Oryzias latipes: one gene and its partners. The protein of the gene in region 5 interacts with the protein of the main gene of each other region in a biochemical or structural test. Links are inferred from orthologs where the notes say so. Each region holds a gene or a part of one and is shown on either strand. Other genes may lie near its edges.

The links.
Region 1: the proteins of runt-related transcription factor 1 (region 5) and elf2 form a complex in vitro, tested with the Homo sapiens proteins (2 studies listed by BioGRID and IntAct). The link is inferred for Oryzias latipes from reciprocal best matches to the Homo sapiens genes RUNX1 and ELF2.
Region 2: of the proteins of runt-related transcription factor 1 (region 5) and cdk1, one has a biochemical effect on the other in vitro, tested with the Homo sapiens proteins (2 studies listed by BioGRID). The link is inferred for Oryzias latipes from reciprocal best matches to the Homo sapiens genes RUNX1 and CDK1.
Region 3: the proteins of runt-related transcription factor 1 (region 5) and probable E3 ubiquitin-protein ligase DTX2 form a complex in vitro, tested with the Homo sapiens proteins (2 studies listed by BioGRID, with this or other methods). The link is inferred for Oryzias latipes from reciprocal best matches to the Homo sapiens genes RUNX1 and DTX2.
Region 4: the proteins of runt-related transcription factor 1 (region 5) and c-fos form a complex in vitro, tested with the Homo sapiens proteins (2 studies listed by BioGRID). The link is inferred for Oryzias latipes from reciprocal best matches to the Homo sapiens genes RUNX1 and FOS.

The regions. Positions count from the first base shown.
Region 1 is NC_019859.2:5,671,563-5,676,930, reverse strand, and holds part of elf2 (ETS-related transcription factor Elf-2), read right to left. Parts: intron 4,201-5,368; coding exon 4,087-4,200; intron 3,961-4,086; coding exon 3,781-3,960; intron 3,552-3,780; coding exon 3,465-3,551; intron 3,346-3,464; coding exon 3,153-3,345; intron 3,064-3,152; coding exon 2,659-3,063; intron 2,585-2,658; coding exon 2,419-2,584; intron 2,339-2,418; coding exon 1,742-2,338; 3' UTR 1-1,741. UniProt on the Homo sapiens protein: Isoform 1 transcriptionally activates the LYN and BLK promoters and acts synergistically with RUNX1 to transactivate the BLK promoter. Isoform 2 may function in repression of RUNX1-mediated transactivation.
Region 2 is NC_019873.2:1,585,689-1,591,791, reverse strand, and holds cdk1 (cyclin-dependent kinase 1), read right to left. Parts: upstream 3,948-6,103; 5' UTR 3,940-3,947; intron 3,900-3,939; exon of another isoform or gene 3,755-3,899; intron 3,591-3,754; 5' UTR 3,585-3,590; coding exon 3,548-3,584; intron 3,259-3,547; coding exon 3,102-3,258; intron 2,669-3,101; coding exon 2,545-2,668; intron 2,262-2,544; coding exon 2,091-2,261; intron 2,022-2,090; coding exon 1,858-2,021; intron 1,745-1,857; coding exon 1,603-1,744; intron 1,499-1,602; exon of another isoform or gene 1,358-1,498; coding exon 1,241-1,357; 3' UTR 1,145-1,240; downstream 1-1,144. Other genes in the region: ctu2 (cytoplasmic tRNA 2-thiolation protein 2), read left to right, coding at 204-270, 496-554, 844-904. UniProt on the Homo sapiens protein: Plays a key role in the control of the eukaryotic cell cycle by modulating the centrosome cycle as well as mitotic onset; promotes G2-M transition via association with multiple interphase cyclins.
Region 3 is NC_019872.2:28,222,926-28,228,745, reverse strand, and holds the start of probable E3 ubiquitin-protein ligase DTX2, read right to left. Parts: upstream 3,326-5,820; 5' UTR 2,686-3,325; coding exon 2,376-2,685; intron 2,002-2,375; coding exon 1,413-2,001; intron 1-1,412. UniProt on the Homo sapiens protein: Regulator of Notch signaling, a signaling pathway involved in cell-cell communications that regulates a broad spectrum of cell-fate determinations.
Region 4 is NC_019882.2:17,151,537-17,157,502, forward strand, and holds c-fos (c-fos protein), read right to left. Parts: upstream 3,378-5,966; 5' UTR 3,233-3,377; coding exon 3,098-3,232; intron 2,740-3,097; coding exon 2,518-2,739; intron 2,423-2,517; coding exon 2,315-2,422; intron 2,202-2,314; coding exon 1,936-2,201; coding exon of another isoform or gene 1,900-1,935; coding exon 1,536-1,899; 3' UTR 1,052-1,535; downstream 1-1,051. UniProt on the Homo sapiens protein: Nuclear phosphoprotein which forms a tight but non-covalently linked complex with the JUN/AP-1 transcription factor. In the heterodimer, FOS and JUN/AP-1 basic regions each seems to interact with symmetrical DNA half sites.
Region 5 is NC_019860.2:1,351,887-1,357,254, reverse strand, and holds part of runt-related transcription factor 1, read right to left. Parts: intron 3,806-5,368; coding exon 3,649-3,805; intron 1-3,648.

The DNA of each region.
Region 1 (5,368 bases), on a different chromosome or scaffold from region 5:
AGTCGATGCGGCAGACCGGCCCGACGCGCTGACCTCTGTGTAAGTCCGTGTGAGGCGACCGGCCGGCCACAGCGGTCCCAGACTTCTGCGGCCGGAAAACCTTTAGTCCACATGCGTCCGCTCCCAGACGGGCTTTCCACACATTCCTACTTCATCCGACAGCATCAGTTCAGAGCCGCGTGTGCTTTCAGGCAGCAAATCGCAGAGCAAACGTAAAGAAAGACACCTTTTTTTTCACATTTAGACCTGAAACGCTGAGCAACACGCTGCCAAAAAAAAAAAAAAGTGGGGGGGTCAGAACAAGCTGATTGGATCATCAGAGAAACAGAAACAAAATAGATCCATGCAGTGGTCCCTTGATGTAACGCCGTTCATCATTTGCAGATTTTTTAAGAGTAACTTTCATTCATCTTCTAAAACCGTTTTTTTTTTTTTTTTTGGGGGGGGGGGGGGTCGCCAGTCTGTCGCAGGGCCACAAACCACACACCCATGCTCCCACATTCACACCTAGGGACAAGCTAGAGTGACCAATGAACCTCAGAGCCATGTGTTTGGACGGTGGGAGGAAGCCGGAGTCCCCGGAGGGAGAAAGGCTCCAGTGTCAACTCCCCATTGGTGTCCTGTTGCCCCCAGCTGGGACTTGAACGTGGGGCCCGCTTGCTGTGAGGCAAGAGTGCTGACCACTGCACCACCGTGCAGCCCTGGAGTATGTGGTCCATAGCTTTTTCTGACAACTATTCATATCTCTCGTTTTGCTCTTAAGTATCAAAGTACTTAACAGTAATTTTGTCTGCTTGAATTTTTTTTTTGACCCTGTCAATCAATCTCTGTACTGTCTCCTGTACAGAATGCGTTCAGTTTGCCAAATCCATATAAATCTGAGATGTTTTTGTTTTAATTCTATAACCCTGAACTTATTTTTCGAGGTGGTTTCAAACATTGAAACAAGAAAAGAAAAAAGGGGGAAATGTTGGCGTTTGTTTGAGAAAAGGGTAGAAGTATGGGGGGTGGGGGGTTACAGCCTTAAAACATACAGACTCCTTGAAAAAGTCATGATATTTTTGGTACTCCCGCGATAAACGAGGGACCACTGTACTACAAATGTTAGTCCCGTTGCCGTAATACTGCGCCTGGTACAAAGTATTTCAACACACATTTTTACTCGTCATTTCCAAAAAAGCTGAAATCTAGGATTGCTGTTAACATTAGCTCCATAAGCTGTATAGACGGTTATATATATATACATACATGACGAGTTCCTGTCTGACAAACTGCCCTCAGCTCACCTTCCTCTTCCCGCCCTCGGCCTGCACAGTGATACACGTGTGTAAAAAAAAATAAAAATCAAATAAAAACTGCTGGTTTTGAACAATTCTAGAAGTAGAAACACTTTAAAAAGCTTATCTTTTTGTCTTTTTACAATGTGGTTGGCTGCAGCTCTCTGCCTCGTGTAGTGTTGACGTTTGTCAGTGATCCGGCCAGAAGGCGTGGCCTGTAGTGATGCAGGTTGGTCCTTTTCAAGTCTGTATTCCTATGATTCAGAGATCCAGACCTAAGGAGGTTCTGTGGAGGTTCTGTGGAGGTTCCGTCAGTCCGTGTCAGTTCTAGGCAGCGACGGGGAGAAGGACTAAAAACAAACCTTTAAAGTCTCACAGGTTGCTGCTGGTTATTACAGGTAAAAGTAAAATTGACCTCAGAAATGTAAAAACTAGCTTTAGTCTAAAGGAGGTGAAGAAATGTTTTAATACTCGGGCTCCTCCATCTTAATCCCGTCTGGAGTTAACAGTTTGGTAACCACCTTAGCGTCCGCAGCCTCCGGCTTGAGGTTCTGAACAGTTTGGGGGTTCGCCGGGCTGGGCTGCACCTGCAGGGCCCGCGCAGTGGCGCCCGCCGCCTTCAGCTTCTCCACGGTGACGCCGCCCGGTCCTATGACCAGCTCTGTGCCGTTGATGATGCCGCCGATGATGTGAGGCGGCGGCGCGCCCACCGCCCGGTTCCCCGCGGACACGGTCACCACGCCCGCCCCGCCGCCCATGCTCCCCGGCTGCGACACCACCAGAGTCTGTTGTTGGGTCTGGGGGGGCACGGTGAGCCTCATCACCTGCGTTCCCGGGACAACGTTGACGGGCGTGAGCGCCCGGACCGTCAGGGGGCTTCCAAGAAGGCTGATGCCGGCAGGCGGGACTGCGGCGGCGTTGGCTTTGTTGGCGCCTCCCTGGAGTTGGCACTGGGCCAGCTGGTGGGCCGGGATGGTGATGATCTTCGCCAGCTGGACTGTGATCTTATCCCCGTTCTCGGCTGTGGCCGGGACCATGGTTGGAATAGTCTGGATCACAACCTGAGCATGGACAGGAAACACTTAGGGAAGCTTTTCAGAGAGAAAACATTTCCAGAGCTTCAGCTTGGGGTCCAACAAACCTTCTGCTGGGAGTTGGCGTTGGCTGCGGCGCCGACGCTGGAGGCGCTGGTGAGGATGGTGGTGGGGCTGGCTGCCCCTGCTGGCTGCTGCACAGCCACGGTGGAGATCTTCTGGCCCTGTGATGTTGTCATGACGACAGGAACCTGCATTGCCACCCGTACCGTCCTGCGATTGAAAAGCAGAAAACGTGAGATGTCGGTCCGTTGGGTAACCGATGCTGCCCCTTCAGGGGTTCTAACCTCGGCCCGGCGGCGTTGGACATCCCAGCCGTGCTCTGCTGCCGGCTCTGGCTCCCGTCCGGAGCCGACGAGACGGCGACAATCCTCGGCCCTGCTGTAGTGATGGTGGCTCCGCCTCCTGATGGCGACTTGCTGCTCGCGGCGACGGAGGTTTGGACCACGCCGGCTCTGTTGGCTCCTCTCAGAATGTTGGGTTTCTTTGAAGGCGGGAGCTCAGAGGCTTGAAGCAACATGTCGGATGGAGGAGGGACGCGCTCGTACGACGCCGCCGTGTCTGAGGCCATCAGGTCATCCGACATGTCCGCCTTGTCGTCAATGATGATGATGTTTTTGGGCATTTCCTTAAACTGGTAAACCAACCGCTGGCCCTCGACCTTGGAGAGGATGCCGCGCTGGTAGTAATATCTGAAGACGAACCAAAACCCTGATGTTAAGATTCTGTAGTTTTGTCTTTTTTTATGAAGAATTTTCCTGACAGTGCAAACACTCCCCACCTGAGCGCTCGTCCCATCGTCTCATAGTTCATGTCAGGCTTGTTCTTGTGTTTGCCCCAAAGCCTGGACACGGCCTTGGAGTCCACCAGCTTGAAGATGCCCTTCTCCCTCTGAGTCCACTTGATATACCTGGGACAGGTGTTCTTGTCCTGCAGCAGCTCCAGCAGGAACTCCCACAGGTACGTGGTGCTCCCTGGTGCACACCGAAAAAAACAGACAAACTTTACCCACAGACCATTGCTCCTCAGAGCATCAAAACCTGCATTGTGACCAACGCGGTTGGAGATCTGACCGCACGTGGCCGGCACACACCTTTGCCTTCTCTCGGCTTCTTCTTAATGCTGAGATCCACGGAGCCGTTAGAAAAAGTGGTCTGATGGATCTTCGGCTTCTTTCCAGCTGCACAAATGAAACATTTTGGTGAGCCGAGCTGCGAGTATCAGAACAATATGCACTAGATGGCGATTCCGGGTAATGAAATTCATCTTAAACAGCTTTTTCCTCCTCATTAGTGCACATAAACACCAAATATTCCAAATTTATTACAAGATTCTTAAATAAAATGTCATTTTTATAGATTTTTTTCTCCCTCTCGTTTCCCTAAGCACAGATCTCCGTTCACACGTACCCCGTCTCTTTCTGACAGGTTCGTTATCAAGCTCTGGCTCTTCCATGGAGGTGACCATCTCATCTTCCTCCTCGCAGCACTCCTCTGTGGAGATCTCCACCTCTGTGTCTGTAATCATGTCAGGTCGCATGGCAGCCAGGAGGAAGTCCGGAGTCACTTCACACGGTGGGACTAAAGTATCTGCGCAGGAATCAAACAGGAGAGATCTTTATTGCGGCGGCCAACTGCAGTTGTCTTTAAAGAACATGTGCACAAGAACGACAACAGCTGGACGGCGTTGGTGTGCTTTTTTTATTTTTTCTTTACCTGGACTTCGGTCTCCTTGGAGGCTGGAGGGTGAATCCATGTGAAGCAGAGCCTCTGCAGCTTCTATAGTTTTGTCTGAGCAGTGAACGCTGGTGAAGTGAACAGACGCCTCCACTGCAACAGTCAAGATTTGACAAAAGATCAGCTTTTAGTGAAACAAGCAGTCATTTTCATCCAAGAAAAACTCTTATGTTTAATCATCTTTCAATCTATTGTTAGATAGCGGTCTCCAAGTTGTGGACGAAACCGTTGACGCGGAGTAAGCCTGCCCCCATTTCCCATCATCCATCTGTTTATACACTCCCTGGCTAGCTTACAGCTAGTAACAACCGGCGAGCAATATTAGAGCTATCCAGCTGTACAGTTCTGAGCCAAATACCAGCTCGGACGAGGAAAACAAAAACGTCAACAGATCTATTCAACTACAAGTGGAGGCATCAGAATGGAGCGGAGCAGGGAGCTTGGGGCCCGCCGATTGCAGCACCAATGTCACTGCTATGAGCTTTTACCAGCAGCATTGTTTCGTCTGCTCCTCAGAAATGCAATTTCAGAAAAGCTTCATTTTCTTTAAATGTGTCCATCATAATCAGAAAAAAAATTTAAAATACCAAAAAGCTGACAATGACCAAAAAAAAAAAAAAAACAGTAACACAAAAGACGCCCCCTAGTGGTAGGTCTAATTGTTTATTGGGTGCATTTTAAGCATGACTAACTCACTAAAATCCAAAAACACCACAACAAAAGCTACAATTTTTCAGCCACTCATAGTAGTTAAATGTTTTTAAAACAGTTACGGTTTTAATTGCAATGTTACAGTACAAAAAACAAACTACAAGTGTTATTTTTGATTAGATAATAACAAAAAATGTTTTAGTCCACATGCCGACCATTGATTGTGGCAGATTATTATATGTGAACCCTTTAAACCCTTCACCTGAGAGAATTTATAACCGTTAAGTCGAAAATTAACTGCAGCCTGTTGTGAGGGAAGCTTTGCTTCCTCTGGGACCCTAAGAATGAGCCCGGGACACCTGCTGTTGTTGTCACTCAATGGGAAGGCACAAGAGATATGGTTACACCACAGTCCACGTTTGGCCTTCTAAGGCAACAGGCACCGTGCAGAGACGACAAATCTGCTATCTTTAGATTCTCTCACTCATTCACCAAAAATAAAAATAAAAAGATGGGACACGTGTTGGATATTTTGGTGTAGATTTTAAATTCCACAGAGCTGTCCTGGACACTAGAGAACCTGCCAGAAATGCCAGCTTAACTATAGATG
Region 2 (6,103 bases), on a different chromosome or scaffold from region 5:
TATTTGATCTGGAGGGGAATAAAAAATGGCAGACACACATATTATACACTGAATAACTTTTTTACATATTGGTTTTGTCCATAATTTTATATAAATGTTGTTAATAAATTGAATAAAGCAACAAACGAACCTGCAGAGCCGTTTGGGAGCCGAAAGAACCGGATCTCCTGTGGGTGAAGTTCTGGATGTGCTTTTGGTTTCAGAGCTCCAGAGAAGAAGGACCTGCAGAAGCTGCTGTGTTACAGCTGCCAGCTGACCCTCAGAGACATGGTGAGACCGCCACCATCTTCTGCTTCAGTCTGCTGACTTCATGGAATGGAATGAGTAACTGAACCAGTAATCCTGAAGTTTTAGCTGAAATCAGCCAACATTCTTCTGATTTTGAAGCTGACTATAGAAACCAGCAAAAAATAGAAACTACTGATGGTAACAGAATAGAAACTGACAGCAGCAGCTCACAGACCAGACTCTGAAGTGCTTTCTTCATCCTTTCAGTCTTCAGTGGCTCATCTTCCCCAGTACATCCTGACAGAGGCTCAGAGGAGGAAGAGGAGGTGAGGACAAACCTTTATTCCATGTAGTTTTAGGTTTAAGCATCATTTAAGCTTCTGAACAACACAAGACTGCATCAGCAGCTTTTCCTGAAAACAGTGAAGTGTCATTCTTGACCTCTCAGTCATCACTGGATTTTATTCTAAAATAGTCCTGTTTCTGTGAGCAGACCTGCTGGTTTGTCAGTTTTCCACACGAGCTTCACGCTGCAGATGTTCAGACTTACTCCGCTTGAAGGCGGAGCGGTTTGGCCAAGCAGCTTTCAGCTGTTTATTGTTGCCGTTTCTGCAGGTCTCTGATGAAGGACGAGATCAGTGAGTTCCTGCTGGAGGAAGAGGAGGGCAGCAGCTGATCAGACATGAGGAAGAAGACTCCTGGTGGGCAGAGAAGCTTGTTCAGGTGTAGCTCCCTCCAGATCGGTTTTGGGAGACTAAATCAGTTCTTTGTACCTTAGTGGCCTTTTATTAAAATGGTTTTGGTTTCATGTTTCTGCATCTAATGCAGAAATCCAGCAGCCAGAACAAACATCTCAGGTCTTTGGCAGGATTGAAGAGGGTTGCTGACATCAGCAGGGACAAAAGCCACACCCACCAACACTTGATGAAAACCTTTATTCACACATTTTTCTGGAAAATATTTCCAACACAAACACACAAGTATTTACAGAAGAACGGGGGGGCTCAGGCCTTCAGACGCCGTTGATGCAGGCGGCGGGCAGCGTGGACTTGTCCAGGTCATCAAAGTATGGGTGGGTCATGGCCTCACGTGCAGAGATCCTCTTGGGAGGATTGTAGATCAACATTTTCTAAAAACACAAGGAGGGTTACTGAGGAGGAACTGGATGTTCAAAAGTAAAGGTCTGGTTTTGAAGGGTTCTGCTGACCCCCGGTGGTGGTGGAGGGTGTTCTGAGATCATTAAAGAATAAAAAGACTGAAATGTTCCTTAGTTTGGTGCTTTTCTTTGGAGCCCCCGAAGAGATTGCAGCTGACCCCACCCCATGAGAAATGTCCACTTGATCTACTTTATTCATAATCTGAAGAACTTCTCACCGCCAGCAGGTCCAGGCCGTTCTTGTCCAGGTTCTTCACCATGGAGGACAGGCTGCCCTCCTTCCATTTGGGGAAAGTGTTTTTGTAGTCAGGCAGGCTCTCCACATCCGGCCAAACGTCATTGTTGGGGGTCCCCAGAGTCCTGCAGACGGACAATAGAGCCCCTTTACTCTTCAAGACCTGATTTCTCCTTGTAGAATCAGTGTGTGTGTGTGTGTGCGCTGAAAGAAGCTGAATAGTTCTCCCACACGGTACCTAAAGATCCTGAAGAGCTGGTCGATCTCGGAGTCTCCGTGGAACAGGGGCTTCTTGGTGGCGAGTTCAGCAAAGATGGTACCCGTGCTCCACACGTCCACTGGGGTTGAATATCGGGGGGAACCCAGAAGGACCTCAGGAGCTCGATACCACAGAGTCACAACCTGAGAACGAGAAGCTTGGATCAGCTGAGCAGACCTCAGCGTTGGGTTCTGCAGCGGAGCGGTTCCCACCTCGTGGGTGTAGACCCGGACGGGAACACCGAAGGCCCGGGCCAAGCCAAAGTCTGCCAGTTTGATGACGCCCTTGTTATCAATCAGAAGGTTCTGGGGCTTCAGGTCGCGGTGGAGGACCCGCCTTCGGTGACAGAAGTAAATGCCCTCAAGGATCTGATAGAGGTAGCTCTGTAGGGGGGGGCAGAAAAGGGAACAGGCTCAAAGTGGTAGACTGCTAGTTCCACACCAGAACATCCTCACAGACAAGCAGCACAAAGCATCATGGCTGCCTCAGAAGAACTGATGAAGATCTGTGATGTTTGGAGCTGCAGTCCGTGGTTAGTGAGGAACCTGGTGTGTTATCATTCAGAGACCCCCCTCCCCCAGCTGAAACCGGGATGTTCAGCTTAATAGAAAGCGTTTGTCACAACAAAGAGTAGGAAATCTAAAAACGAAGCGCTGAGTGTTTTACCTTGACCAGCATGGGGTCCATGTACTGTCCTGACGGGATGCTATCCAGGTACTTCTTCAGGTCCATGGACAGGAACTCAAAGATCAGGTAGAGGCGAGATTCCTGCATCAGGACATCCAAGAGCCTTTCAGGTGAACACAAAGGTGGAACCATTATTGCACCTCCAAGATCAGCGGAGGGAGTTGAGGGATTCGGCATTAACGCTACTCTGAACATCCCTACAGAAGGACTAAAGAGTTAAAAACCCAAGCAGGACCCCTCTGGAAAGAACATGGAAGCAAGTGGAGGCCTCCCATTACACGTGTGCACGTGTTCAGGTCAGAGTTCATGATCCAACAGTCAGAAAGGGACTTCTGAACAATCATGGATCCACAGGAGAGTTCAAGGAGAAAGAAGTGCTGAACAAGAACAAACATCTGGATTATCCCCAAACGTTCAGATGAGACAAGAGGGACTAAAACCCAGCACCTTTGACCCGGACATCACCTCACTGCATTTTACCTGCAGCGCATGGACATTAATGTCAGGAACCTGTTCAGCGCACACGTGCAGCATACCGGACGACGTTGGGGTGCTTCAGCTCCTGAAGCAGCGACACCTCCCTGACAGCGGTGCTGGGAACTCCCTCCTCCTCACTCTCCAGGCGGATCTTCTTCATGGCCACCACCTGTCCCGTGGACTTGTGCCGGCCTTTGTACACCACCCCGTATGTCCCTGCAGACACCAGAGCAGAGTCAGGGGATGAGGACTCAGACGTCCCAGAACCACTGCAGTCACCCCATCACTCAGATTGTGGTGCAGGGGACCATGATCAGAATGAAGAGCCAGGATCTGAACCAAAGCAAAGCTTGAGACGTCATCCTGGGACATCTCCATATACGGGTGGAGGAACTTTCAAGGACTTCCAAGTTCAGCATCCAGGTGGGCCTCTTTGGTGGGTTTCACCCCCCAAAAAAATCTGGACAACATTTTAGAAAAACAAAAACATTTTTACTCCACCAACCTTCTCCGATTTTCTCTATTTTCACGTAGTCCTCCATCTGTCCCTGAAAGAGAAGACAAATCCTCTCAGCTCGGACTTCTGCAGATGTTCAGACTCCAAACGGTCAGATCCTCCGTTGAGAACCGCTGAACGTTCAGGCCTGAAAACCGTAAAACGAGCAGCTCGACGTTACAGAGACAGAATAAAAACAGTAGGAATCGAACCAACCCCACCGACTTTCACCGGCCAGCTGAGGCCTCTCCAAATCTGAAAACCAGGTTGGGGGAAAACCGAACCGAGCCGTTACCGGAAGGCGCGTGTCCGTCCGCCAACGCGCCTCTCCTCATATCAAAGCGGTACCATTTCATGTCGTGATCTACCGGTTGAAGCCGTTAACGGTTGCCGCTTCTTACCTCCGTGCTGTCGCTGCTCACGCTGCGGATACAAAGCTGACACTCTTTAAAATTGAGCGCAGGACTCGGCTTCAAAACGCACCAATCAGCGCGCTCGACGCTGTTCAAAACAGCTAATCAACGAGCGGGAACGTAGCTGGACGCGCTGACGTCATACAGGTCTCCTGTCTGCGTGCCTGAACGAAAACACATTCTGGATCAGTCTTCCTGTCTCCCCACTAAAGTTTTTTTCCTTTCTCGTTCGTTGGTTTTTAGATTTAGTGCTTGCAGCTTTTTTCGTTTCTGAAACCGTCCCTTTGTTGACTTCCATATTTCAATCTTTCTTTTTTTCCTTTTAAAACCTTTCTTTTTAAATTTTAATTTTTTCCGCTTTTAATAGTTTTTAAAGAATTTTACTTCCTTTTTGTTTTGTATTAAACATTTTTATCTTCACCGTCGTTTTAGTCTTAATCGTTTCCCTGGAAAGCTGTCTCTCGTTGTTACACTCGTCTTCATCCTCTGTTGTTGCTGTTCACCATATCCCTTCAGCTTTCACTGATCTGCAGTCGGTTTGGCAGAGATATGTACACTGAATGGCCTTCCTGACACAATCCTGTATTTACTTTAGGCCGGGACCGACACTTTCTGGCTACATAGTTAGGCAGGAGCCTAACACTGGATGAAGCTCATTGCACCCCATGGGAATCAAACCCGGGTTTCTCATGCACCAGGCCTACATGCAGCCAATGTAGTCATCCAGCTGCTCTTCTGGCCATACTCTGGACTTTGCTTTTTCTCAAAAACTCTCAATTTTTTAAAATGATTTTATTCTTATAACTTAGCAAGAAAATGTGTTTATTTTTTAAATAAATAACATTGAGTTTTCTTTCTAAAACTATTAGAAAGGACACAATAGGTTAAAGAAAACATTATAGATAATGTGCCACCTGGGGCCTGTTTCAGAAAGGAGGTTAAGTGTAAACTCTGAGTGCGTTAACCCTGAAATCAGGGAAACCCTGGGTTTTCTGTTTCAGAATGGGAGGTTTGTTAAACCAGAGAAAGCAGAGTAAGTCAAACCCGTTTCTGAAAGAGAGGTAACTTATACTCTGAGTCAGTGTCCATGGTTACTTACGCTGTGAACCTAACCTGGTGGGGAGCAGGTTTTATTCTCTAAACTCAAGGTTTCTGCCGGTCCCCTCCCCTTTTTAAAGACGAAGCGATATTTTTCGCTTTAACCTTCATTGCCCAAATGTCCGTCACACAGAGACAAGTGACAAGAATGGCTTGTCCTTTTTTGGAGGACCCAATAGACGAGGAGGCTGCATTAATTCGTAGAGAATTACATTTACCTCGTACGAGGATTTTGAGACCTAGACTCGATTTTTTGTCATTTCCCCATACGTTTTTGTTTGAGCGTTACCGTTTTTCATTGCAGTCAATTACATATATACAATGAAAACAACATTAGATATTGCTATGTAGATGTTTCATATGTCAAATATTGTCAACAAAGCCTACATCCATGACATGCTCAAATTTGACCTGATTGAATTATGTTTTTATACTTCATTTTTAGCTGCTGCCGTGTTCTTTTAATTCCTGCAGGATTGCATCTACATGAAAATGAAAACAGGGACATTGAATTAGATTAATGTAACAATTACTTTTTGGAAACACAATTTGCTAGCACTGCTTACTTTCTTAATCCCATATAAACCTATACCACTTGATCAATACAAGGGTAGACAAAAGTTCACTTTTAAAAACACAATTGCATGTATTAATATTAAACTGACCAACGTTTGCAAGAGGGGAAGGTTAACAAAAAAGTCCTCTAAACATTACCGACGTTAAATGCATTTTTTCCCCCAGATTGGTTCTGTACACTATGCAGCATTTCATGCAATTACACCAGGAATAACACTTCAAAAGTACACCTAAATATCACCATTTTTTATTTCACACCTTACGCTATTTAAAAAGTTATTACAGTCAATATTTTATAACAATGATTTAAATGCAAACTTGCGCATTAACTTGAGCAGCTATGTTTTCCCACGCTAACTGTCTCTGTTTTGCAGATGTAGCGGTGTTGCTTTTCTTCTGGAATATGTGCTCATATTCACTGTAACTCTGCAGCAGCATGTCAAGTTCAGCTGGAGAAAAATACGCAGACCTCTTTTTT
Region 3 (5,820 bases), on a different chromosome or scaffold from region 5:
GGAACCGCTTTGAAGAGGAAGGAAGGTCAGACGATGCACTCAGGAGTGACAGGAAGTGAGCCTGAGAAAACACTTTGCTGCCCTGCAGGGCGGCTCAGCGATGAGGCAGGAAGAGAAGCGGGTGGGAAATGGAAGAACCCCAGCAGAGCAAATCCTCGCTGCCACCAAAAGCAGGGCGGCTTTCAACGCCGACAAAAGCTGTATTTACAGAATTGATGCATCACATCCATGAAGGCATTTTCCTCTCACTGTTGGTGGCAAAACAAAGGCTGTGTCTGAATTCCAGCCCTAACCCCTATAGAGTGCACTACATAGTGATTTTCTAGTGCTGTCAAAATGGAGTGCCCTTGAAATTTCCCAGAAGTGTCTGCAAAAAAACGGCACATATAGACCACAATGCATTGCGTCGAAACAATTTTTGGCAAAAAAAAAAAAATGCATTAAAATGTATTTTTTTAATAAATCATTAATGTTTTTATCTTCAGAAGACAGTAGACTCATAAATACTCGTCCAAAAACGCTCATATCAGTTCGATTTTAACTTTGTGAAATCGATGACGTCATATCCGCCGTCTAAAAAATACAAGTAGTGAGCGTGGCGTCCGAATCGCTTTAACATTCAGGGCGCTACACAGTGCTGCACTATGTAGTTTGGGGTTAGGGTGGGAATTCAGACACAACCAAGGATTTTATTCTCATTTTATTTGATTTCACAGAACTACCTTAAAATAAAAAAAAGATAAAATAAAGATAAAAATAATGCATAATCAATTATCGAAGATGGTTAAAATGAGTGATTTCTAATTACATTACTTCACTTGCTCCAAAAATGGATTCATGGTTTTTCTTAATGAAACTTAATTTTGCACATATTTTTAACTTTTGAACTTTGATCAATTTTTGATATTGAAGATTTTTGAAACAGTGTTATGTCTATTTTACTGATATAGTATTATTTTTTAATCATATACATCATTGTTCTAATGAATATAATCAGCTTATATTTTAGATAATTGATCTGCATTTGCTATTTCTAAAATAGAGTTATGTCTATTTTTACATAATAATTAAGAAATTCATCTTTATCATGAGATTTATTGACACCAAAAGATTCTTAATTCTGTCTGATAAAAGTTCTGAACCGGATAAAGATAAAACATGTAATAAAATATGCTGATTGTATTGTTTTTGTGTATTTTTCTTCCTTGATTGCTTGAAATAAACCATTTCAAATCAAAAATCAAATCAAATCAAAATGTAAGAGTTCCTATTTTATCCATGTCTGTCCCACATTTGTTCAGGTAAAACCATTTGACCCCACAAAGTGACTTCAGATCCGTGTTGGCGACTGGAACGGGACCGGCAGCGTTTTAGCAGATACCAGAAACCCCGGACAGAGAGGCGGAACCCACCTGAGCCCGTTGGCGCTGGCGGAGCCGCTCAGGTGCGACGCCGAGATCTGACTGGCAGAGGGAGGGGGGAGCCAGGGGCTGCCCCAGGATATCCCCCCAACAGAGTGGGGCCTCCGGGGATACGGCGAGTAGACGGAAGTGGGGTGGGTCGCGGCTGCCCTTCCTGGTCCCTGCAGGCCGGGTCGGTTCAGACTCCCCGAAGAAAAGGAATGTCGGGAGCGGCTGGGCATGGGCCCCGTGCTGCTGTGGCTCAAACACTGCTGGCAGGAGCAGGCCGGCCCCAAGGGGACAGCCGGGGGCCCCGGGGACGCCAGCGGGAACGGGGAGTTGCCCAGTCTACGAACCTGCCGTCTGAAACCCGTTGATTTGTTGACCTGGGCGAAAGACGTGAGGTCCACAATGTAGTTGTATCCGTGAGGGCCCAGGTCGGCGGTCCCCTGGCGGGCCTGGTAACTGTGCTCCAGAAGGATGGAAGTTCTGGTCTCGTACGGAGTCCAGCCCCCTTCATCGTTGGCCCATTCCCAGTAAACGCCACTGCCGAGGCCCGAAGACTGGGGGAACAGAGACCGGCGCACGGAGCGCGTGGTTCCTGCACAAAAACCCGCAAATGAGTTTACCTTCAGCAAGACAGTACTCTTTGTAAGAGTACTACAAAAGGTACTTGGTCTATACTAAAAGTGATGCACTTGAAGTTCACTTCCATACTGTCTATTCCTGGACTCAAAATGTTCCAAGAAATACTCAGTTACTTCACTAAATCTACATAGTCTCTAGTATTCTAGCTATACGTGTACTCAAGTATACTTAATAAAATAAACTTAAAGTGTACTGCTGCTTTCTAGACCAGCTGACTGAACCAACATCATCTTCTCAGAAATGCAGTTTAAAAAGACAAAATGAACGACGGAAACCAGAATCTCTGATCTGAATCCGGACTTCAGGTGTGGTGCTGAAGCGGTTTACCTGTATCCTGTCGAAACTGCTTCAGGCTCGGTATGTCGATGAGGTAGGGGGACAGACTGGGATCTGATTGTCCGAGGCAGACGCTGGTGGAGCTGGGTCCGGCTCCCCGGTGGCCCCGCGGGGACAGGGACCGCTCGATGTGGGAGCAGACCTGGCCGCTGTACGGCCGCCAGAAGCCCTGGTCGTCCTGCCATTCCCACACCGCTATCATTGGCTGAGACTGTCCGACTGACGGGGACGGCGCGGCGGACACCGACGGCCCGTTTCTGGAGCTGCTCACCCGGGAACACGATCCAGACACAATCGCCATATTCACCGACCGAGGTACTAGCTAAGCTAACGGCGGCTCGTTCTAGCTAGCCGATCGGGGCTACGACAAAGCCAAAGTCCGCGGGGCTAGCTTGGCTCACTAAAGAGCTTCATTATGAACGTGGGAGCATGAAGAGGCCTGCAGGTAAAACACTACGCGCTCTCCGTGAACACCAAGGTGCATGTTGACATTTCTATCAGGGGAAACGCTAGCTTTACAACTGCGTTGCTAAGGTTCCTCCTCTGCTCCACCAGCTGCCTTCACGCGCCCTCTGAATTTTTGCATTCAAACCGATGACAGGTTGGCTCAACTCAGATTCGTAAAACAGAATTTTAATCTGTAAAAACATGCAAGCACAAAACAAACATAAATATCTACTTGCTAGTGTTGCTGGTTTAAATGACTTTAAATTGCTTACATTTAAACCCCACTATACAAAAAGCGTCCTTCATTACCTCTTTTTTTTTCAAAGTCTGTGGTGAGTCGGGGACAGATGGGAGAATGTACATTTCTTGAGTAGATCTGTGTGTTTTTTAATTCTAAAGCCAAACACTTCAAAGACCAGAGTACGCGGCTTTATTAACCAAAGAACAAATAACCTTTCAAGAAGAACACATTACCGTTCAAAATTACGTTTACAAAGTCTCCCTGAACTTCACACTCTTCTTCTTTTAAAACAACAACCTCTTCCTCTTTTTGGAATCTTCAAAAACTCTGCTGCCCCCTAACGGAGACAAAACGGTACGACAAAATACTCAGAAGAGGAAAGGTTGAGCAAAAGAAAACTACGACTGTTGGATCAAAGGGAACTGTAAAAAAATAAAAGATGTGTTCAATTTGCCACAAGAATTACATTAAAAAAAATTGTCAGAATGTCACAATTTTCCGAACTGGTTAAAACCAAGTCCTCATGATCTTAGTATTTACATTTGTACAATGGTACTCCAAACATAAAATATTACAGTTTTATTATTAAACTTCAAAACTTAGTTCCACATAGACAATAGAAATTATATTAGAGACTCTATAATATTGAATAATACAATCATATTATTTATTATTATTTCAACGTAAGAATATATGTTTAGACAAAAATGTTTGAAATCCCTTAAAGCAAATGTTGGGTGAAATTTTTTTTTATTGTTGTTTGAAATAGCACAAAATCATAAAAAGAACACTTTTGTTTTTTGGACACTGGGAAAAAGAAAAGATTTTAAAATAAAAGAAAACTAAGTAATTGTTTACCCCCGGAAATTTTATGAAAAAACACTTTGTTTTTTCTTTAAGGTGAGTATGAAGCAGAAGCATCGGTTTGCATCAATAGTGCGTCAAAGGCTTAAATGAAACCCCGGTGTCTCCTGTTTGCTCGGATCATCTCTGAGATGCGTGGGCTTCACTGACGTCCACCCGCGGTTCTGGAGTCGGTTGGGTTTGAGAGGACACCTACCTGTCTGCATGAGAGCTTTCATTCAGCAGAACATGTCAGAAAGGGAATGTCTGTGGACCTCTGAGGCCCAAATAAAGAAAAACGATGCAAAAAAACCCAGGTTCTGGTGCCTTGAAGGTTTAAATGTCAAAAAGGCCCTTTTCATTTAATAAACTGACGCCTCCCTGAGGTTTACTCTATTTGAAACAAGACATAAAACATTTGGAAAAAGTGAATAAGCCCTGAATGCACTGCTGGTAGAAGGATTCATGTTTAGTGTTTCCACCTTTAGAGCCGCCACATGAAAGATGAGGAAACCTTCCTGATCTTTCTGAAATTAACAATTCATGAACTGAAAGTTTTGAAGTTTTGCAGCAGCAGCAAACTTCTCCTTTTGCAAGACTGTACGCTTTTAGGAGATTAAACCCAAACGCTTCATAAAGTTACCTTAATCATAAAGAAAACCAAACTGGGACGAGGCCGTTTCAGTAAAAATATATGTCCTACCATCATTTTTAATTTTCCAAAAAGACACAGTGTCCAGAGAGTTTATTGCCAAATATAAATGACTGTTTTTAATTATCCGTAAATCTGCTTTTTATGGAGCGTTAGCAGAAGCATCTTTGGGATTACAGCTTGTCCACAAACCTCCTCCTTCCTTACTTCCAGTCCAGAAGATTGTGAGGAGCCGATATTGATCCCTTAGGAGACAAAAATAAAAATCAAATCCTCAGAAAAGCTTCAAGTTCTATCAAATCTTCAGTGAAAAATGTAAATCCCTTTGGAAAGTCTTTAGTTTCTCATGTGCTTCAGACATGGATGAAGACGCCGACGGTCAGATTTGAAATGATGGTTGCAGGACGCCGCCTCTGCTGCTGCGTTTCCTCCTTCAGCGACTGCTTCCATCACAGGAAGGAACCAACTTCAGAGATCCTTTTAGAGAAAGACTGTCTCCAACAAGCAGAAGACGTTCCCTCAGTGCCCTACCCGCCAATTATAAGTGCCAATATAGACTCCAACACACATGCATGCACACAAATACACATACAAGGAAGGTGGGGAGAGTAAGAGGGATCCCTGAGTTCTCTGGGAAAAGGGGTTTATTCAAATATATACCTTGTGTGCCCAGTCAAACCTGTCCAACATAAAAGGCCTTCAGCAGTCAGCTGTGTGCTCAGCTGTTGGACAGAACAAGTAAAAAAAACAGAAAGTGTAAAACAATGGTTGGACATCCCTGATTGGATGAAAATGTTTGAGTTTTGAAGAAGAAGGAAAGCAGAAGGAGGTTTTACCTGAACCGTGGGAAGAAGTTGTTGCAGTGGGCGGGGCTAGAAGCTTCAAGAAATCTCTTCTGTTGGAATACATCGCCTCGTACCAAATAACTTCCTGTCAAAAATGTAGACAAACATCATCATCCCGTCAGATCGTTTGTTTTGCTTTTTTTAATTTTTCGTGGTAAACTTTTAATGTGGTTTTATGCTTTGGGTGATTTGCTGATGTGATTTGAACTTCAGGGCCACCGTAGGTGAACCTAAAGGTACGAAGGCACCATTGTATTGTTAGAAAATCTGCCGTGTGAAGTTTAATGCACTAAAACTAAAATTCCTAAAGGTTGTCAAACGGGATTAAAATCCAGCAGACGAAGCCTTTTGTCGTTTGGAGCATGAAGACCCGCTGAAGCTAAATTCTGCTGACACTTGCAGACGTGT
Region 4 (5,966 bases), on a different chromosome or scaffold from region 5:
GTGTCACCCAATAACATGAGGCAATAAATGCTTAGACATTGTCTTGTGCAACGTAAATGAGTGTGACCTAAATGACTTAGTCTGCTGAAATTCTGTCCTCACACAGAATTTCCTGTCATAATTGGGCAACCTGCCTTCTGATGACATGAGGAAAAGCACTGATGAGGGACGAGCAAACATGAAAGATGATTAAAATCCTATGACAAAATTTACAAGGAGTGCACAAAATCATTTTCACTCAACATCTCCAACACACAAACCATTTCAAATCGTAACTTGAGAAGTGTTAAGTTAATTTGTAAATATGAAATTGTGTAAAACTTTATATTACAACATATTAATGTCTTAAATTTGTTTGATATATGTACTTTTTTAAATTGTTTATTTTGTTTTTACTGATTGAAATAAACCAAACAGGAAAAAAATAAAGAATTAGATTTTTTCTTTCATTCTGATATAAACTGAAGTGCATGAACCCTGCAGATCAAACAAAACGAAATAAAATAAAAATATTGTATTCAGAATGATTTGCTTTTGGTACCAGCGAAACAAGCCCTGCTCAGGCACGGTCAATCAAAATAAACGTAATCTTGTATCCGCTCTGTTGTCTCGTCTTTTTCGGTCAGAACGGCTAATGACTAATTTACCAAACCAGCGTAGTTATTGTTCCTTTCCGTTGGATATACCGACAGTTTCGGTGGCTCTCTTTGCAGAGAAACCCCTGAGATGTGCGAATATAAGCGGAAGTGAGAAAAAAAAAAAAAAAAAAAAGAGCCGTCAGCCCGCAGCACAGCCACCGACTCCACTGGAATTCTATATTTGGGCACGGAAGTGCAACGTGATTGCGCAGGGCGTTCAGGACAAAAAGAAAATGCAAGAGAACGCACTGACGTCAAAGCCCTGACGTACAGTTAGCCTTGGCAACAGAAGAAAAATAGCTTGAAGCTACTGACGCTTACGAAAGCGGAAGACACTCAAATTAAACCTGTGTATAATATCTCAACATTATTCTCGATAGGTATATGATTAAAGTGACAATCAGGCAAATAACTGCGTTAATATATATTTTTTATTTGCACAACATTCGTCTGTAAAAATAAATAAATACAAATTTCATAAATTACAATGTTTTCACAGAAAACTTCACAGTCTGATGGACTTGCAGACCATGGCACCACAGCAGTTTAATGAAAAAAATAAAATAAAAAAAATCTACTTTGACATTTAAATAACAAAAAACAAACCAGAATTATACAGCTATTGCTCTGAAAACACATTTATTGACAACAAGTATTGTTATCTAGCACCATAAATATAATAGTAACTTAGAACAACTAGGTGTTTGTTTTTTAAATATATATAAATCATGCTTAATAACTTGCTACATTGGTGTTAATAGGCAAGTAGAGATAAAGGCAGGTAACATATGATTTGCCATCTGGTGCATTCCTGTTCCAAAGCTCATGCCTCTGCACAGTTTGATAATATTTCAAGACTTGATGGGAGGAAATACTTTTTTTTTTCATTGAAAGTCCTTAAAGAGTTAGCAGGGTGGGTGAGTTTAGAGAGTCTGAGGGATGGTCATTGCTGTTGCTTCCCCTCCTGTGTGCAACGCCACAGGTGGGGAAGGTCTCAGCTTCTGGGAAGTTGAACACCAGAGAGAACGTGTTGGTTGTGCAGGCTGGAGTACAGGTCACCACTGGTGTGCACAGGGGCTCAAAGTCAATGTTGGTTGAAGAGGCATGAAGAGGCTCCCATTCCTGGTTACTGTAGAGGGAGCTGGAAAGGTCAACCTCTGGCACAGACTGTGCCGTCTTTATGTCCGCTTTTTCCAGCAGGTCCAAAGACTCCTCCAGAATGGAAGCCTCGAGGTCTGTCATCTTGACAGTGCTGTCGGAGGTGGTGGTGGTCGTGGTGGTCGAGGTGGTGGTGGAGAGGACGGAGCTGGAGAAAATAGAGTTGGAAGTTGGAGGGATGGTTTGCTGGCTGGAGGTAAATGTGGGCATGGAAGACTCTGTGGTGGAGAGGTATGGGTGGGTGGAGGAGATTGAGGTCAGGGGAACCTCGGTCTGCAGCTCTGATGGGATTTTGCAGATGGGCTGGTGGGCAGCCAGGATGAACTCCAGCCGTTCCTTCTCCTTCAGCAGGTTAGCAATATCATTCTGCAGACTGGACTTCTCATCCTCAAGCTGGTCAGTTTCCTATCAGATGGGAAAGAAAGAAAGTGTCACTTAGTGGGATGTTGGATTGGTTATTAAGCTCTGGGAAAGAACACATTTTCAATAAGTGAGGGTAAATCTGAAGGGATACTTACAGCTTGAAGGGTGTCTGTGAGCTCTCGCCTCCTGTTACGGCATTTAGCTGCTGCCTGCTTATTTCTCTCTCTGCGGATTCGTCTCTTCTCTTCCTCCTCAGGGCTTATCTGCAAGAACAAAACAACAAGTTGAGACTCCAGCTCTAAAAACACATTTCAGCTGTTGCATCACTTGAGATTTAGAAAAAAAAAAGATAATTCACCTTTTCTACTTTGCCACGTTTGGAAGAGCAAGCCTTGGATGAAGACCTCAGGGATGATCTGGGGTAAGCAGGACTGGGGCTGGAGCTGTAAGGGTGAGCTCTGTGGGAGGGGGCCATTGAGGAGACCACAGGCTGGACCATCCACTGCAGGTCTGGACTTGTTGAAATGGCTGTGACCGTGGGGATGAAGGAGGCACTTGATGCTGTCAGGTCAGTGAAATCCTGAGAGAAAGAGGGAGGGGAGTCGGGAAGTTAGTGATGCTTTCAGGAGGGTTTTAAAACACTGGGCTTTAAAAATATCTCAATGATGTCAGCTCTGACGTTATGTATCCTCGGTGGAGTGAAAACTGCCTTGCTCTGTGTGCAGCAGGACAAACATGCTCCTTAATTAATTTTTTATGACTCTTTATAAAAAAAAAAAGTAGCTTGTTTTCAGGTTTTATTTATTAATTCTAAAATGTTCAAATTAATTTGAAAAAGTTTTGAATTAACCTGGCCCACTGACTTTCACTCAATTTAATTATAAATTAAAGTTCAAAAAGACTGTGAAGCCATCTAAGCAATCGTCGTTTCAATTTACCTGAGACTGAGGAGATCCCATGCTGGAGTAAGAGCCCGCAGGTGACGGGTAGTATTCCAGGTTGTCTCCGGACGGAGACGCGGTGCTGCAGCGGGAGGAAGAGTCGCAATCTGTGCTGAAGGCGGTGAACATCATACTTCCCGGAGAAAACAAGAAGGAAGATTCCAGTAAAACTCCTCTCAAAAGTGGGTAAATTCCTTTTTGTGGCTTTGAGAAAGTTCCTTGAGCGCTTCTTCTGAAATGGAGCAGGACTTTCTACTTTGCTAATCGAAGTTGATCTAGTTGCTCCAGCCGCTCAGATCGGTTTTATATCCTCCTGGTGGTGTGACGCAGCGCGGGGGAGGAGCCTAAAACCGTGAGAGTGAAAGCGCCAAACAATCACATAGCAACGCCGCTGTGGCGGGAATTATGGCTTTTGTTTCGTCAATATACAGTCATAGTTAGCGAAAACACAAGTTATTTGTAATAAAACAGCAAAAAGAAACCCGTTGGAGCTCGTTTAATGTTCAATTTGACAAGAAATGGAATATTCCATAAACAGGATCGGGATCCCCGAATCCTACGTCATTTACCATATATGGTGCATCCTGTAAAGGGGCGGACCTTGATGGGAAACACACCATCCGACATTGGCCGAGCGGCGACACGACCTTACGTAAGACAACAAACAGCGAGGCTGCTGAAAAAAAAACTGCAAAAGAAACGGGATAACGATACGAAAAGTTTGTTCTGCCCAAACAAGAACAGTAAACAAAAACTAAACATCCAGATTTTGGGGGATTAAATGTCACACGAAGTTACAGTTAAGGGAAATGATCGTTCTCTTCTGGTTTCATTTTTTTTCTCCTCTTTATCCAGTTTTGTATCTTACTTTTTTATTTGGACACATATTTAAAATGTGGAAATCTTTTTCCACGCGGTGATTTTTCTATTTGGATAAACATAATTAAGAACAGTTCAAAGTGGGACAGAAGTTCACACCCTGACCCTGATGCAATGCTTGTTCCCATAAAAGGGCGTGTTCAGCTCGCAATTGCTTTGTTTGCAATAGTTGTCCTAGACAGCGGATTAGTTTAGTCTAGGTGAGGTGTGCCCAGCTCTTCACAAAGGTCTTCCCCCAAAGGAAAGAGGGAATCCTCCACCTTTCACTTGATTTAAATCCCACTCAGCAACTGTCACCTAAAAGGGACAACAAGAGGCAGCTTTGAAGCTGGGCCAATAATCCTGACTCAGTGCTCTTAAGGAAGTTTGATAATAAGACAACCTTTTGCTTATTTATTTTGTTTTACATTTGCTTGCTGATTTGTATATGGAAATATCTATAAAATAGGTTGTTCACCTTTCGGTTCATCCCGTTATGAGTCTCCACAGCACTCAGCACAGGTGGTTTGGAAGAGAGTTTTTACGCCAGATGCCGTTCCTGACACAGGCCTGTCTTTTCAAGGCACAGGGAGACCCAGGCAGCTCATTGCACGCCCTGGGTATTGAACCCAGGTAACATGTATACAGAATTATGCTTGTTATATTTTTTTTTAATGTCTAGTTCTTATAAAAATGTAATTAAATAGCAGAAGTGTGCACCGCTATAATATGCTGCAATTACTTTACATAATTATATGTTTACATAAATTTATGATAACCCCTCTAAAGAAAAAAGTGGTAATGGCTATTATAAAATCTATAACTATTTTTGGTTTATTTTAAATGTATCAGTTTAATAATTAAAGTCTAAATTATTTACAGTGGTGTCATTGTGGTCATTTGTTCATGTCAAAGGACGACAGTGTTTCATTTATTACGACTTTTCTCCCCACTTTTGTGTTTTGTTGAACATTCCTGGTTGCCGAGCAACACCCAACCCCTTCGCGTCAGTGACGCAAAAGAAGGAACAAAGATCGTATCTGTATTGCAGAGGGACTCCTCCGTCTAATTAAATTGTAAACCGGCAGCGGTAGGATGAGAGGTGCAGAGAAAGTAGAGCAGAGTGAGAGCTCTGTCTGCGCTGTTGGTTTCACCAGCGGCTCTTTTCTGCTTGCTGACTCCATAGAGCAACGGAATGAAACCAGACACCGAGCAGCCCGGCTGGGTTGTTAGATCGCTTTGGCTGACTGGTTGCCAAGAACAGAAGCTTCCAAATGAGTCCCACTGACACTGTTTGCTTTACACTCTATCGGTTCTTTCAGGTCTTTGGGCGTGCAAAAACTGTTATGCAAAAACATAATCTACTTTTGTTTGCAGATCTTAAAATATACCTGGATTATACAGATGATAATAGTTCAAAGAAAGTCTTGCAGACATATGCATGGAGGAACAAGTCTGTAAAAGTTCATCTGGACTTAGTTTTTTAAGATCAAGGATTGATCTTTCAATTGAGAAAGCTTGTTGGATAAGAAGTGAAAGGTTTTCAATTTAAAAGTCCTGAAGTTTAAAAACTGTTTTTCTGCTTTGGAACCAGATTGATAAAAATGTTCACAGAGATTTACATGCATGACTTTTATTTAAAAATGATAATAATGAAAAAAAAGTTCCTTAATCAAACATCATATAAATAGATGGATAAATAGCAGTTTGTACCGATTGGTAATAATAAATCTAAAAATAGGAGTATCATATGCGATATACCTCAAGGTTCAATTATTGGACCAACTCTGTTTTTACTTCACATTAATGATCTATGCAAGTTATCACAAATTATGAAATTCATACTTTTTGCAGACGATACCAGCATTTTATGTTCAGGTCAGAACTTAGGCTACGTTCACACTACAGGGCTTAATGCTGAATTCCGATTTTTTTGAAAAGGCCGTTCACATTTCCAATTAAATGTGAATTTTTGTGATCTCCTGTGTGACCGTGAAATGACCCAGAA
Region 5 (5,368 bases):
TGGAATTGGTTTATTTCAAGCAATCAAAACAAAAATATAACTAAAGAAGATAATGTATGATAGGTGCAAAAGGGACTCTGGTCGCTTAAGGAAAAGGTCAAGACAGAATTCCAAAATGAAGACGGGAACGACCGAAATGGATCATCTTCAAAGCATCTTTCGCACGTTCAGGTTTGATATTAGGAGCCCAGAGCAGAGCCAATGGCAAACAGCTAAAAATAGAGGTGAACACCTCTGTCTCTGGGGTTAGGAAAGCCATGTGGGGGTTAGGAAAGCCATGTGGGGTCATATTGAAAGACCTGGAGGAAAGACTGATGGTCTATTGTTGTTTCAGTTGAGTAAGGGAAAGATGATTTTGGAAGACCTTTCTTGACAAGAGAGAAAGGGACATAATTTCCAGTAGAAGATTCATCTGGTTAGAATTGAACCAGCAGAGTTTTTAGAATGGGTGACCGTGTTGTGGTTGCAAACCAGGCCTCACAACTCATCACCTATCTTCTTACACAAGATCGGTTTTCTCCTTTTGGTAACTGAACCGACATTTCCAAAGCTGGAGATGCTAAAGCAGTAGCACCTTGCTAATCGTATAACTTCAAGTACAGCTGTATTTTTGTGAGCCATAAACAATATCTGCGTATGTCCAAGGTTGCAGTTTGAACACAGGTTGAGAGGGAGAGACCTCCAGTTGGTTCTGGGTTCAGTGAGGAGTGTTTTAGACTCTTGCTGTGCTTGCGCCACTCTTTCAGTGATGGCAGAAAGACTGTATATTTTTTATCAGTCTTACTTTGATTCTTGGTGCACTGTAATATCTTGTGATTCGATGGTCTGGGGGCGCTCCCCTACCATTGGATGGAGAAAAAAATCCCATAGGTTCAAGTGAGTTCTCAACTTGGCTTTAAAATCACTCGGTGAACAGGCCTGCCTAACCTGCATAGGGAGTGCATTCCACAAGCTGGGGCCAGCAAATTTACGATGAGAGGTCTTGATCAGAACTACACGGGTACCACTGTACTGATTACAAGCCTCTTCTTGGATTCTTTATGAAGTTGAAATGGAATTTCCTCTGTACGCAGCGCTGGGCACCCTCTTTCCCAACATATCAACATTTGAGCAAGGCACGCAGTGGATATGCAAATGCTGATGCTTCCAGTTGACTTCCTCTTCCTGACACTCCAAGTCAGACTCGGTTACCAACAGAGGCTGTGTTTTTGCTAGACAAACTGTCGTTCCAGTGACAGTAAGGCAGGCCTAGAACTTTACTCCAGAGTGTCAAGTTTGTCAGACTGGTGTCTTCTTTGCAGGAACCTGGATCGAACGTGCGTCTGCGACCAGTTTGTGGATGATGAGAAGAACGCCCACACACCCAGGCACTCAGTTTAAACACATTCAAAGTGTCTGTGGTGGGACGGAAAATTCCACCATGGAGTTTTATTTTCTATTATTTTGCATAAGGCTAGTTTCTATTTACACCCGCCAACCTCAAGGGTGGAGGTGTGATAAGGTGTACCTCTAGAATGGTGCTTGAAATGAAACACACCATGCAAATACAAACTGTCCATGCGTTCTTAAACTTTAGGACCCTAACACGTTGAATAAAACGCAAAGTATTTTTATTTGACCTGCCTGCATTATGTCGTCTCTTCTCCTTATCTCGGGTTTTCATCTTAAATATGCTCAAGATAAACAAAAGTGTGCTGAAACCAAACGGGAACTCAGATTTGGTAGGGACGTCTGGGTAGTGTCCTTTTAAAAACACCGGATTGTCAACTGTCCAAAAGCCAGGAGCAAGATTCACGAGATTAGCACTGTTTGACATTTCACACCAAGAAACGTCCAACTGTAAGTGCAAGTATTGAAATGCATGTTCAGCAAGTTCTCGAACGCCCAACACATGGTCGGCGTGTATGTAGCTTTACTCCAGAGGTACAGAAATGAATGTGGGCTTCATCAATGGTTTTTTGCTATTTTTATGCACACAAATAGTTTAGAGGTAGGAATCTTAAGCTGACTAAAGTAGCACTGACAAGGTTTTCTAGAATTAGAATTGTTTTTCTACTTTTCGTACAAAATTACCTCAAAGTTAGAGGTCTTTTGTCTGTGAAACACAGTGTCAACGTACATTTTGTGCATTTTCCACATATGAAAGTTTCGTGACTAATAAGTGACAATTCATGAGTGTTTCTAGCATTGGTCATTCGTCAATGTGCTCAGATTTCTGTAATGGGGTTTTGGCCGATGGGTCTTTACGTAAATCCAGTTTTAAACTGTTCCAAATTTTTGGCTGGTTGAGAATTACGTAGTTTACATGTATTTCATGTAGTTTATACGCAATTATTACGTGAATCTTACACAATTTTTTGTAATTTTTATGAGATGCAAATGTTTGGCTTTCCATGACGGTTCCACGCATGTCTAACAGACTTTTCACACATGAACCACTGATGTATAACTTTTATATCGAGTATACGGCGCCCAGATCGCGTTCAAATTATGTAATTGATGCATGAATCAATAATGAATTGGATATTAGCAGCGCAATAATTACACACGGTTCATGTTGTATGGTGATTTACGTGTTCTTTGAGTGGTTTATTCGTACTTATCCTGTGGTTTTAACGTGGTTCAGTCCTGATACATCTGTGAAAATTTCACGTAAAGACCACATCCTTTCTCACCTTTTCACGTATCTTCACATATGACATATTTCCATCCGTGCAATATGTGCAAGATGTACGTAGTGACTCTGGGTCACAGACTTTAGTTTAATTTGTTCATCTTTGCTCTTTAGCCATACATTTTTGCTCCCAATAAATCCACCAAAGGACAAGAAGATGTCTTTTCGTCCATCTTTTTCCTTCGTCGCCGTTGACGCTTCAAAGCTCAACGGCCTGCTTGTTGCGAACAGTCTGCAGCTGTATCTTCAGATCCTGTTGAATGAAGCTGGGAAAACTCATCCCATTGTAGATTGTAGTGAGTAGAGCTGAATTTGAATGTAAACAAATGCTTTGCTATTTGAACTCACTTCATTTGAATGTGGCCGTGGATGAATTAATAATACTCACAGTGGCCAACCACAGCACTAAAAAAGGCCAAACAACAATCGTGACAGCTCTTCAGCTACTTCCTGTCAGGTTGAGCAGTAGATGTCTTGGTTTGTTTGTTTTTTCTTTACTGCAGAGCTGATGGAGTCTCTGCAAACGTCTGCTGCTTTAAATAGAGCGGTTGAAACATTTGCCTATAACTGATGTGGAGTAACTGCAGTTGGGTGTGTCGGTTGAAGACTGACGCGGGTGGGAGGGTGAGGCAGGAGGAGGCAGACGCTGAACCAGATGTTGGGAGGAAGTTGCGTGAATACAGTTTTTATTCAGATGTACTTCCCCTACTTTATGGACTCTGCACGGTATACTTGTGGAAAACACTTCAAATACGTTTACACAAGCCAAGTCGTAATCCCTGACACTTACGTTGACACTTTTTTAGCAACGTTTACCGCTGCTTAACTGAAAAGTTTCACCTGAGACTATTAACCTCATGGTTGGGTCACACCAAAGACTCTACAAAGCCTTGACAAATCTCAGAATCTAGGGCTTGGTTGGATATTTTAACCCTGACATGACCTCTGAGCACGGCTGTGACCGCTCAGCTCACCTCTCCCACTGCGCCCAACGAAGCGCAGGTCATTGAACCTGGCTACTTGGCTCTTGATGGCCGCAGTGGCGTTGCGAAGCTCGGCCGAGTAGTTCTCGTCGTTTCCTGCCATCACCGTCACCAAGGTGCCGTCAGGGATGTCGCCAAGGGCGACCACCTGGTTAAACAGGGGTTTGAAACTGAATCATACAAGACAATAAAAGCGCAAATCACAAAAATAAAACAGGAATAAATTCAAGAAAATGTAGATGTATATATTCATGTATTATCAACATCAGCAGATGTACACTTTTTGATCACACACACTTGTGGTCATGTAAATGTTGAATTTTAGGGATTTAATCAATGTACAAGGAGGTCATATCCTAACCTGTTTTCGAATGTAGTACCATTTTAAAGTTGTTGGTGACAGTTCATAAATACGCATAAGTCCAAACACAAATGAACACAACACAAACAGGTGCATAATTCAACAACAAGATATTGAATTGAACACATTACATCATCGCAGTAGACACTTTAAGAGTCACAGGCTACGTCAGAATTCCCACCCTTCTCCCTAACTATCAGGTTACAACAACTAATTCTGAATCCACTGTATTCTGATGATAAAAACATTGATGCTTTATTAAAATAAAATACATTTAAATGTTTTTTTTAGCAAATCCTTGTTGTCTATATTCCCCTATCTAGTGAGCATTGATGCACACTTAAGGGGAATTTCTAGGGCATTTGCTTCTGGCATTATAGTTTGGGACAGCACTACAAGGTGAGTAGTGTAGGATTTCAGTGATTTCAGTGGGAAAAGCAGAAAGACGGCCGATACTGAACTTGAATAAATAAACAGTTATGGTTTCACATACACCGCCTACAAACACCTGTCTTTTTTTGTTACCGTGCCCCACGAAACTGTTAATACCTCTGGGGTTAGCGAACCGTCTATACATACGGTGTTCTATAAATTATACAAAATAATTGCACTGTATGTCAATACAGTTTTTCTCAGTCGCTTTAGGACAATTCTCAGATCAGAATGAAATTCCCCAAACTATTTGTTCAATCTTCACATCATGATGTCACTTGTGCACATCATGTAAGCAGTTTCTCACTTCTTTGAACAAGTTGCAATTGCTTTGGTACATCCATGCAAATGATTATGTACAATTCTCTGCTCTTTGCTACATTATCAATTGTTTATGTCATGTTGATCAAAATGTATTATATAGTTCACTGTGCAATAGTCTTACTCCTCAAAACACAGAGTCATTACCGTAGTTCATCGTATAAGTCATTAACTGCAAAATGGTTGACCAAGTTGTCATAATGTGACAAAAATATTTCGCTGCATTGCAAGAGAGGATATTCGCTGTGATGTGGATGAGAATTTGTGGCCTAACATACAGGAACGACAAGAGGTGTAGGAAGACCACACCAATTCCTACTGCACTGCCTGTACTGTTGGACACATTATTGTCCTATATTTTTTTCCCTTTGTGTTACTGTTTGCAGTGGGTTTTTTCTATGTTGGTATGACATGGTCTGTCAACAAATTACAATAGGAACAATAAAAGTGTTAAATGTGAATCTTGTCCAGTCTCTTGCAATCAAACAAAAAAGGTGTAACTTACATTTTACAATAATTGTCATCAAAACTTTAGCCATAGTTTACATCAGAACCTCCCTCTAAAGTACACAGTTATATTGACAACATGACTAAGTA